2 linked regions of the Caenorhabditis elegans genome follow. The protein of the gene in region 2 interacts with the protein of the main gene of each other region in a biochemical or structural test. Each region holds a gene or a part of one and is shown on either strand. Other genes may lie near its edges.

Evidence for each region. Proteins that work in one complex are often made in the same cells at the same time.
Region 1: the proteins of tnt-4 (region 2) and tni-4 interact in far-western blotting, tested with the Caenorhabditis elegans proteins (one study listed by BioGRID).

What each region holds. Positions count from the first base shown.
Region 1 is NC_003282.8:5,202,718-5,207,663, forward strand, and holds tni-4 (Troponin I 4), read left to right. Parts: upstream 1-1,873; 5' UTR 1,874-1,889; coding exon 1,890-1,913; exon of another isoform or gene 1,914-1,934; intron 1,935-2,197; exon of another isoform or gene 2,198-2,218; intron 2,219-2,285; exon of another isoform or gene 2,286-2,306; intron 2,307-2,856; exon of another isoform or gene 2,857-2,877; intron 2,878-2,889; coding exon 2,890-3,130; intron 3,131-3,237; exon of another isoform or gene 3,238-3,259; intron 3,260-3,433; coding exon 3,434-3,578; intron 3,579-3,623; exon of another isoform or gene 3,624-3,644; intron 3,645-4,012; coding exon 4,013-4,187; 3' UTR 4,188-4,407; downstream 4,408-4,946. Other genes in the region: Y59E9AL.36 (RRM domain-containing protein), read right to left, coding at 4,555-4,946. UniProt on the Caenorhabditis elegans protein: Troponin I is the inhibitory subunit of troponin, the thin filament regulatory complex which confers calcium-sensitivity to muscle actomyosin ATPase activity.
Region 2 is NC_003283.11:1,988,956-1,994,505, reverse strand, and holds tnt-4 (Troponin T, skeletal muscle), read left to right. Parts: upstream 1-1,592; 5' UTR 1,593-1,619; coding exon 1,620-1,636; intron 1,637-1,684; coding exon 1,685-1,870; intron 1,871-2,678; coding exon 2,679-3,300; intron 3,301-4,253; coding exon 4,254-4,349; intron 4,350-4,413; coding exon 4,414-4,494; intron 4,495-4,703; coding exon 4,704-4,829; 3' UTR 4,830-5,031; downstream 5,032-5,550.

The DNA.
Region 1 (4,946 bases), on a different chromosome or scaffold from region 2:
GAGAAAATAGCCGGATTTCTGTAGCTTTAAAATGGGAAAAGAGAGAGATAGTAATCAAACAAGCTCGCGCACAAAATGACAACTCTTGAGAAGTTTTCCCTTTCTCTCTTTCTATCCCCCAAACCCTATGATTATATCAGACAAAACGTGGGCTATCTTGCGCTACGAGATAGAGGCAAAAGTGCGTGGTAGGCAGAAGGCAGGTGGAGCCATTTGAAAAATGAAAAATATGTTACCGTGGGAACATATACCAACAATTACGGTTTCATCAAGGCGATATAAGTGTTTAAATCTTTCAGCGAAACTTCATTAAAACTTTCCGGACAATCATCTGCTACCCAGTTTTGAATTTTCTTATTAAAATACGGTGCCCAGTCTTACTGAAGTTCCCAAATTATGGAATTTTTTACAAGTCAAGGTTTAAAAATCGAAGAAAAATTGGCAACGACAGGGGTGGGGTCTATAGTACTATTTAAACGCGCAAATTTTTTGAATTCAACAAAATTTGCAATTGTATTTATTAAACATAATCGTATATTTTTTTGATTACTGTGAACAGTGAGAACTGCAAAAAAAATGTATTTGAAACCTTTGGACAACTTATCATATTTTTTACGGAAACTTGTACCTTCAAGTCGTGTTGTAACAAAAAATATTTTTGAGCCTCAAATCATATTTGATTTCAAACTAGTTTCTAATAGTAAGATAAAACTTGTTAGAGAAACTGAATTTATTTTCCGGTATTTTTTTTATTTTCATCATAATTTTAAATCTCCTACAGCAGTTAATGACTTATTGAAGCATTAATTAAAACGAGTACCAAAATTGATTGCCTTCAATTAAAAAAGTAGCAATCTGAAAGCTACAAAGCTCACATGTGAAGCTTTCTATGTTGTCAAAAATTCAGCAGCTGATTGGCGGTAGGCACAGTCATAAGGCAGGCAGGCAGATATTTTTCTGCCTACGTGGAATCAACTGAACATACATTTTACTGGTATAAAAATAACAGGCGATTTCCAATCATGATTCACAGTTCCCATTTTAAGCTTGTTGTTGTCCTGATAGAATTTAAATAATTTACTGTTTCTTCGATAAAATAATAGGAAATTTTTTAAAGCAAGTTAATTTATCATAGTAACGAAGTTATCATTTTGAAATGCTAAAAATTTAGTTTCTTTCAGTAGAAATATTGTCTTGATACTTTTTTTGGTCTGAAAATTTACTTTTCAGTGTCAGGCTTTTTCAGCAAAAACTAGAAGTTTTTCTAGGAACCTTGGAAATTCAAATTTTTTACTATTAGTTTTCAGTTTTAAACAAGCTTATGATTATTATACCCATAAGAAAATAATCATTTGCCTTTAAAAATGTTTCAGTTCTCATAAAATTATCTACTTCTATTCAAGAACCAAAGCAGCAACCATTTTTAATATAATTTTTTCTCACTTCAACTCCAATCCCTTCCATTTTTTTTTCCAACAATTCCCTTGACTGCAACAGACTGAGGATATTCTCAAGCACCCGCTTCTTCCCGTGATGCTCTAAATCTCTCAATAATCCATACTATTTCCATGTTACTGTAACTGAAGAGGAGGTGGTGGGAGGCGCCGGGATCCCCCTTTCGCAAATATCTTCCTCTCGTCTCTTCATTTTCCGTGCTATTTCGAAAACACACTTACCAGGCAATCGGGAAAAGCCGAGCCAATTCAGTTTCTCCGAGCAAATTTCTTGGCATTTTCGCCGTGTCCCCCACACTTTTTCGTTATCTTTTCTTTGTCTCAACCCAACTTTTACCGTTTCACAGCAATCAATGATTCATCTCGTAGATCTTGTTCTGATTGGGATCTTCTTTAAATTACGTATTAAATTATTTCAGGTGATAACCAATAACCATGAGTGACGTTGACGCTGATGAGGTGAGTCGTGGTTTTATTTCATTGCAAAGATAAAAATTGATTTGAATTTGTAAAACACATGAAACAGTAATTTTGTAAACTTTTTGGTAAACCAAAAAAAGTTTCCAGCCTTATCCCCCACATATGGATGCAGAAGTAAGTCTAGACAGTTGAAAATTTTAAGTACAGATTTGGTTTTTTTGTTGGAAATGGTTTTTATTGAGTTATTTTATATTTTTTCTTGAAATCTGAAAGAAAATTTGAGATAGTTTTTACTTGTAAAAATGAAAATATTTCCAGTGTTTTTGGGATAAACCCTTCAATAAACATGAAACTGTTTTAATTCATAAATTAACAACAATCTGAAACTGTAACAGTTTTTGAAATAGAAATGAATTAGTGGGAAACAATGCATTCGTTTACTATAATGTGACTGTAATTTGTGGGCTCGTTGAAACAATATATATATATATATATATATATTTATTCGACTAGTTTGAAAATTGTGAGCTTTGGTATAAAAAATTAGTAAAATTTAAAAAAAACGTGTTTGTGAACAAGCAAGATCTTACTAAGACCTTACTTACTAAGACGAAGCGATTGCTTTGGCGCGACTGTATATGTTCATATTATTTATATAAAAACATAGTGTTTATAGTTAGAAACATTTTTGGTTATAGTTTTTTTGAAACAGTAACTTTAAAATAAATAAAAAATTGTTCACCTTTTTGATGTATAGTGATTGTAAATGATTCATATACTTGTTGAAACTGTTTATAATGTCTTTTACTTAGTTGAAAAGCGAATTACATAAAAGCTGCCGTTACAAGACCCCATAAAGATTTTAAATACTCAGTAAGTATATTTTTAATATTAAGGATTTTTTGTTCTGCAAAATATTTTTGGTTCACCCTTGTCATGTTTCGTCTTCAGTTCAAATATTGAGTTACCGTAACCGCCATATTCCCATTTCCGTACCTCAAATTCACATTTCTAGGCGCGCAAAATGGCGGAGCGCGAGCGCAAGAAGGAAGAGGTGCGTAAGCGTCTCGAGGAGGCCTCAAGAATGAAGAAAGCCAAGAAAGGATTCTTGACACCTGAGAGAAAGAAGAAGCTTCGTAAGCTTTTGATGATGAAGGCCGCCGAAGATTTGAAGCAACAACAAATGTTGAAAGAGCAAGAGAGACAACGTATTCTTCAAGAAAGAATCATTCCACTTCCAGATTTGGATAACGAAGGTAAGTGTTCTGAAGATGAAAACAACTATTTTATGCTACTTTTGGATATCAGTAAAATGCAATTATGTATGAAAATATAGAACAAAACACTTAATTTAGTAATTAAAGAACATTTTGCTAGGATGTCAATACCTCTCCAAAATACGTTTGGTTAAATAGAAAATACGAAACAGTAAAATTTTTAAATAAAAACTTGAATTTTTTAAATCTAATAGACTACTTTAAAAAGTGTTAAAACTCTGTAAAAACTTCATAATTCCGGGCGGTTACCTACATGAGTTTTATCTTTATTAAATTTTCCAGATGACCTCGAGGCAGTCTACGATGAAATCCGCGAGAGACTCATCGATCTTGAGTCTGAAAACTATGACGTCAGCTACATCGTTCGTCAAAAGGATTTCGAGATCAACGAGTTGACCATTGCTGTCAACGATCTTCGCGGAAAATTGTTCGTTTTTTATATTTTTTGAGTTTTTGGGGGTATTCATTTTAACCACATAATTATTGGATGGCACTGAGAAAATACTTTTCGCCATTTTTGATATTACTATCTTGAAACGGGAAATTTTTTCAAATGGAAATAGGAAAATTAATTACGAAAATGACACCAAATCAAAAAATATTGATATTGTAGAAAATTTTGAGAACTGTTAGCTTCACCAATTTCGGGTCCTGACACGAACGCAAACTTTTCAGCTACAGTACACGGGAGTATACAGTTCATTTTTAGCTTCATAGAGCGAATGTTCATATGATACCCAGATGCGAAAATTTACAATTTTTAACGCAAAATACATATCAATCCCGGTCTCGACAGGACCGAATGTTGAAACGGCAAAAAATTAAAGTTTCATCCAAAAAATAAAAATTTAAAATTTCCAGCGTGAAGCCAACCCTGAAGAAGGTGTCCAAGACCGAGGGAAAATTCGACAAGCTTAAGAAGAAGGAAGCCACCAAAGTCGATTTCCGTGCTCAACTCAAGGTTGTCGACAAGAACGAATTCGCACTCGATGAGGAAGACACTGAGAAGAAGGAGAAAGCCGCGTGGGCTAAGTAATTTCCAATAAAATCATTGAAAATTTCGGATAACTGGCACCCCCTGGAAACGTCTCGTCAAATTCAACTCGATCAATCCCTTCCCATCCTAAAAAATTCTCCTTCTTTATAAAAATTTCACCTTCGCATATCCATCGCCCTATCCATTTGCTTTCTTGTTCCTGTATTTTTTGTCTAAAAATTGTGCTCTGAAACAACAAGAATAAATCAAAAAACAATATATTATACAAAAAAATCGGGATGAATAGTTCATAAAAATTGATTGATGTAGATCTAGAGATTGAACCGTGGTTTTTTTCTTGAAATTTTAACAGGGAAATGGCATGTGTGGGGATTTTACAATAATTATTAGAAAATACATTTTTAAATTAAAACTCCATATCGGGAACTTCAATAGCTTGATCTTCTCTCATTCGTTCTTGTTCCAGCCTGATCAACTCTTGCCATTGTCGCTTCATTTCCAGATACTTTTTCAACGAAAAAACTTGAATCGTCTCGAAAAATCTTCGAACCTGGCCTCCTGGAATGTACTTGGCAAGTTTTCGGCACATTTTCTTCCTCTTCCTCCGCCGATTCTTCTTCTTCTTGACAAGTTCTGGTTTCTCAATACCTTCCTCCTTTTTTGTTGGCGGTTTTTTCTTCTTCGGTTTTTCTTTTTTCGACTTTTTCTTCCTCTTGTTTCGTGATCGCTCAATATTGATGTGGTATGGAATTGGATTTTGTAGACTTTCGGAAGTCGAAGGGGCTTCGTCTTCAGGTG
Region 2 (5,550 bases):
ATCGTGAAAAAATTTCGTTAAAAAAATTTTCAGAGGAAAAGGCCTAAACATTTTTGAAAATGAATAAGTTACTTTTAACTAAAACTTTGCATATACTTTCATTTATCAGCTTTACTTTAGTGGAGAGAAAAATAGAACTTTGGAGTATTTTTCCATTTTTAAAAAACTACGCATATTTTTTTCTTTGATGAGTAATATTCTTGCATAAACCTTATGTATAACAAAATTTTCAACTACAAAAATGTGAAAAATAAAAATTTAATTATTTCAGCTCTTGACAAAAGTTTTGTCAAACAAGTAGTTTTAGAGTTACAGGCGAAAATCTGGAAAAAGGGTGTTTATTGAAACTTGGACTTAGCTTGTTTCAACTGACTGTAACTTAGCAGCGGGCACAGATAGGAAATAGTGGTAAACTGATAAAATGTAGTAATTGATGTGCTTATTAATGTTGTAATTGATTACTTTTTTGTATCTTGCACGTTCCGGAAGTTAGCGCCCTTCAAACTTTAAAAAGTCATTTTTGCAAGCATTTTTGGCCATTTTAAGGAGTGTAGCGCCACCAAAAAGATACGCATGGGGCGTCAACTGCAGATTTTTATTCAACTGACTGTCTAATACATCAGGGCATATAAAGTTTTTCATTTCGCCGAAAAATAAAAAAAAATCGAAAAAAAAATTTTTTTTTCGTCATCACAGTTCTGAGATTTAAAATATCTGGGAGTAGTCCGATATGGCTGATATTGTTGGGCTTATCATTACTAACAGTCTTCTATATAACCACAAAAAAATATCTAAGAAAAAATCAAAGATGAGAAAAAGCGACAAAACTTATTGACTGACCTAATAGGTTAATTTATGGGTTTTCTTGAGAGTTATGAGCTAAGACTTGCATGGCATATGTTTTTCGCTGTTTTGAATCATTTACAGATATTTTTTCCACTTTTCAGAAGAAAAAATTTTTTTTTGAAATTTTTGAAATTTTTTTAAAAAGGTGGTCTAGCCACTTTCAAAACGTCATAACTTTGCTGAACCTGGACCGGGGCAGCTAAATTTCTTGGAGAGATCATCATTTTCACTCTTTTATCGAAAAATTACTATGGCATGTCAAAGTCCGGGGTTCAGTTTTTCGACTTCCCTTGTAAGCATTGAATTTAGAGGGGAATCCTTAAAATTTCTGATCCAAATCCATGAGTTAGCCATTTCAGATCCTTGACTAACCATCACTTCCTGACTTTTTTTCCTGCTCACTTACCACCAGTTCCCCTGTCTCCACCAGAGCACATCACCGATCGCGACATGATTGTACACACAGGTAGCTCTCAAGAGAGCTTACCCGCGATTTGCCAGGATACTCTCCCAAATCTCTCTCATGTTTCCATGATCTTTTTGCGCAGTTTGCGGGATGAGAAAAGAAAGCTAACATACACTGTACGCCCACCGAAACTCGAGATCCGCCTCCCCACTACCACTTGTTGGAATTCATTGGGGTGGGCAAACTTTGAAGACACTATGTAACACTTGCTCTTCTTCCCCTTGCTTCCAATTTATGTTTCATTTCCTAACTTTTGATTTTTTACATTTTTTCAGGGGTTTTTTTTACAACCAATTCACCAATCAACATGTCTGACGAGGAATAGTGAGTTGAAATTTAAAAAATGTTATATTTCAAGTTTTAAAATTCCAGCTCCGAGTACGAGGATGAGGAGGTAGAAGAGGAGGAAGTCGAGGAGGTCGAGGAGGCTGAAGCCGAAGAGGAGGAGGACACCGAGCAGCAAGAGGAAGAAAGGTTCAAGCGAGCTTCTGTCGACACCACGGCAACCGGTGGTCCAGCAACACCGGCTGCTTCTTCGCACGCTCCTGTCTCTTTCGAGTACTTCTTTTTTTCAATTCTTTCCTATCTTATAGTAAAAACTACTAGGCTTTTCTTATCCAAGACCGCCGTGATCTCTCTAATCAAATCACTAGTACTGTTGAGTGGAAAAACTTTTGAAAAGCCTGCGTCTCCGCGCTCGGCCACACTATTTTCTTCGCACTCAAGCACATACACTTACGGCATCACTGTTTGCACTTTTTTCTTTCTTTTCACAATTCCATTATCCATGCAATATTGGAGTGGGTTAGAGGGTCAGATATTTGGAAATAGTTTACTTTTAAATGAGCAACCGACGAATCGAAGTATCCGATGAGAACACATCTGTATTTTTGTATAAAGTAGGAGCAGCCGACATATTACGGGACCAAAATATCATTAAAATCATGTGAAGTCGGGCATGCACTTTTGTTGACCTTCGAGATGTCGGCTGCAAAGTTTTACTGACTGTCATTATGAAGTATGAGCTGCCGACATTATACGGGATCCGGCAATTTGTAGAAGGCAGCTGGCAAACCTCGGGTTTCTCAATTGTCGGCTGCACACTTTCAATGGCTAGTGTAGGAATAAGAGCAGCCGACATATAACGGAAATCGAGATCTCAATGAGAGAGAGATCTCAATATCCGGAACATTTTATTTTTTCAAAGCCTCATTAAAAAACAATTTGCCCTGAAAAATGTCGGTTGCTATCCTAAATTGAAAAAAATTAATTAATGCCAAATATCTAACCCTATAAAATCACTGAGACACTACTAAATCATCACATTCTGAAAAAATAAATTACCCTAACAATATGCATTTTTCAGCGGAGAAGCTCTAAATGAAGGTGAGAAGGCTATGCTCGCCGCCAAGAGACGTCACGAGAACGACGAACAGGCCAAGTTGGAAGACTACGAGAAGGCTCGTCGCTCCGAACGTGAAAAGGAAGAGGAAGAGTTGGAGAAGCTGAAGGAGAAGCAAGCTCAGCGTAAGCTCGCCAGAGAGCAAGAAGAGCGTGAAGCTGCCGAGCGCAAGCGTCTCGACGAGGAACGTAGACAGAAGGAGGAGCAGGAGCGTCGTGCTCGTGCCGAAGAGGAGAAGAAGAGGAAGGAAGAGGAGAAGCTGAAGAAGGCTCAGATGATGGGTGGAGGATTCCCAGGACAACAGGGTGGAAGAAACTTTGTCATCCAGAAGAAGGAAGAGTCCGCCGGAGTTGGAGATCGTTTCGGAAACATCGTGCAGGCCAAACAAGAGATGGGAATGACCAAAGAACAACAGGAAGAGGCTAAGTCGGTCGCCATGGCCGGTATTCGTAAGTCGATCGCCGAGGCTTCCACCATTCTTCCAAATGATATGAAGGCCAAGATCAAGGAGCTTCATCAAAGAATCTGCAAGTTGGAGGCTCAGAAGTACGATTTGGAGAAGAGACACGAGAGACAGGAGTACGATGTAAGTAGTCTTAGTCTTAGGCTTCGGCTTATGTTTAGGCTTGGCATAGTCTAGGCTTAGGAATAGGGTTAGGATTAGGCATATGCTTGGGCTTAGGCTTGGCGTAAGTGGCGAGCGGTAGCTAGGCTTATTAGGCTTAGGCTTAGGCTATGACTTAGGCCAAAACTTACTGATTGGCTTACTAGGGAACCATCAGAAGGTGCCCATCGGACTTGCATATGAAACCTATGCCATTCGATAGCCTATGTCTTAAAACGGTTACTCGTGAATTTTTAGCTGCGAATCTCCAGAACCAAGTTCACGGCGAGCTCTCAAAGATCCTAAAATAGCACTATAATGAAGCATTGAATGGCCAATATTCCTAATTTACTTTGGTAGCTCATATCTCCGTGGATAATTTTTTTAGAGAAAAGTCATCAACTGATAAGTTGTTGATCTTTTAGTAAAGAACAAATTTGTAGTTGAAAGTTTTCCACCAAAAAAATTCTGTTTCAGATAGAAGCGCGTGAAGTGCGGCAACTGTTGTTACTATTTTATTGCTGCTATTATAATGTTTTTATCTGATACAAAAAATTGTTGGTAAAAACTTTCAACTACAAACTTGTTCTTTACAAAAAGATCAACAACTTATCAGTTGATGACTTTTCTGTAAAAAATTTATCCGCCGAGATATGAGCTACTAAAGATAATTAAGAAAATTTCTTCTTTAGATCGTTACAGTGCTTCGTTACAGTGCTATTTTAGGATCTTTGAGAGCTCGCCGTGAGCTTGGTTCTGGAGATTCGCAGCTAAAAATTCACGAGTAACCGTTTTAAGACATGGGCTATCGAATGGCATAGGTCTTATATGTAAGTCCGATGGGCACCTTCTGATGGTTCCCTAGATAGGCTGCAGCATAGGCAGATTCTTTAACAATTTAACCACTGAAAATACGGAAAGTTTGCAAATTTCAGCTGAAAGAATTGAATGAGCGTTCCCGTCAAGTGGCCCGTGCCAACAACGCCAAGAACGGACAAGTCAGCGGAGACGACACCGGAGGAAGACATCCAGTATGTTCATTAGGATTTTTGGCATTAATAGACAAATTATAATAACTAACAAAATTATTTTCAGCCAAAGGTCCAAATCTCTTCCAAATACGACAGACAAATCGACAGAAGAAACTTCAAGGAGCGCCGTCAGGTTTATGAGAACGTAAGTTAAAACATTTGTTTGAAAATTGAATTGGGGGCTGGTTTTTATCTGAGAATTTACAAAACCCTGATTTTGGAATACCAAAAAAATAGAAAAATTAGAAAATTTAAAATTGGTTAGGTATGTTATATTCCTAATTTTTTGTATTTTCAGCTTACCTAGTTTAATTCAAAATTATTCGATTTGTTACCATGTTTTTTAATTTCCAGAAAATCGCATTCCCATGCTTCCCAGGAGTTGCCCCACCACCGGCATTGTACGAGAAGGTGATCAAGAAAATGGACTACGAGATTCAGCAAGAGCTTGAAGCCGCCGAGGAAGAGGAAGACTATTAAGTCGATAATACCAATAAAAAAACCAAAAAAAAAAATCATTTATCCAAGTAGTTTTTATCTTTTTTTTTTTGCAAATACGTTTAATTGTTGTTCAATTTTTCTCTGAAACTTTCAGAAAAATCCAAAAAAAAACCCTCTCACTTTATGTTCCCATCAAACTTTTCCCAATGTCTAAAGTTAAAAATAAAGTTGAAGCGGAAATATTCTGTTATCATTTCAGTTACTGACCTCAATTAATAAAAGCGGAAAGGCGGGCGAGAACGTGGCACTAGAATGTTATCACTGAAATTGAAATAGTTCTTGTTCTGATGATGATGTTTGTGGCTATTTCGGGTGGCTTCCTGAGGAAAAGATCAAATAAGACCGAAATTATATAATTCGACACTTACAAAAAAACCCATTTTATGAGATTATTTTTTTCTGAAAAATTATATTTTTTTCAATGTTTAAATTTTTGAGAAAATCAATTTATTAATTCACCGCTTCGGAATGTTTGGAATTTTTAGGGGTGTCTTCCCGCTTATTAGCCTAGACCTACCTACCTACATGTCCGGCCATCACCTACTCGTTGCCTGCCAAAGCTTTCTGTATTTACTTTATTAGTAAAGCCTCCAATCTTAATTTTCAAACTCCTTCTTTAATGTAAGTAATATATTTTTTGAAAAATAGTTTCACATAATGATATGTAGAGGAAATATGACAATATTGTATTGCTATTCTA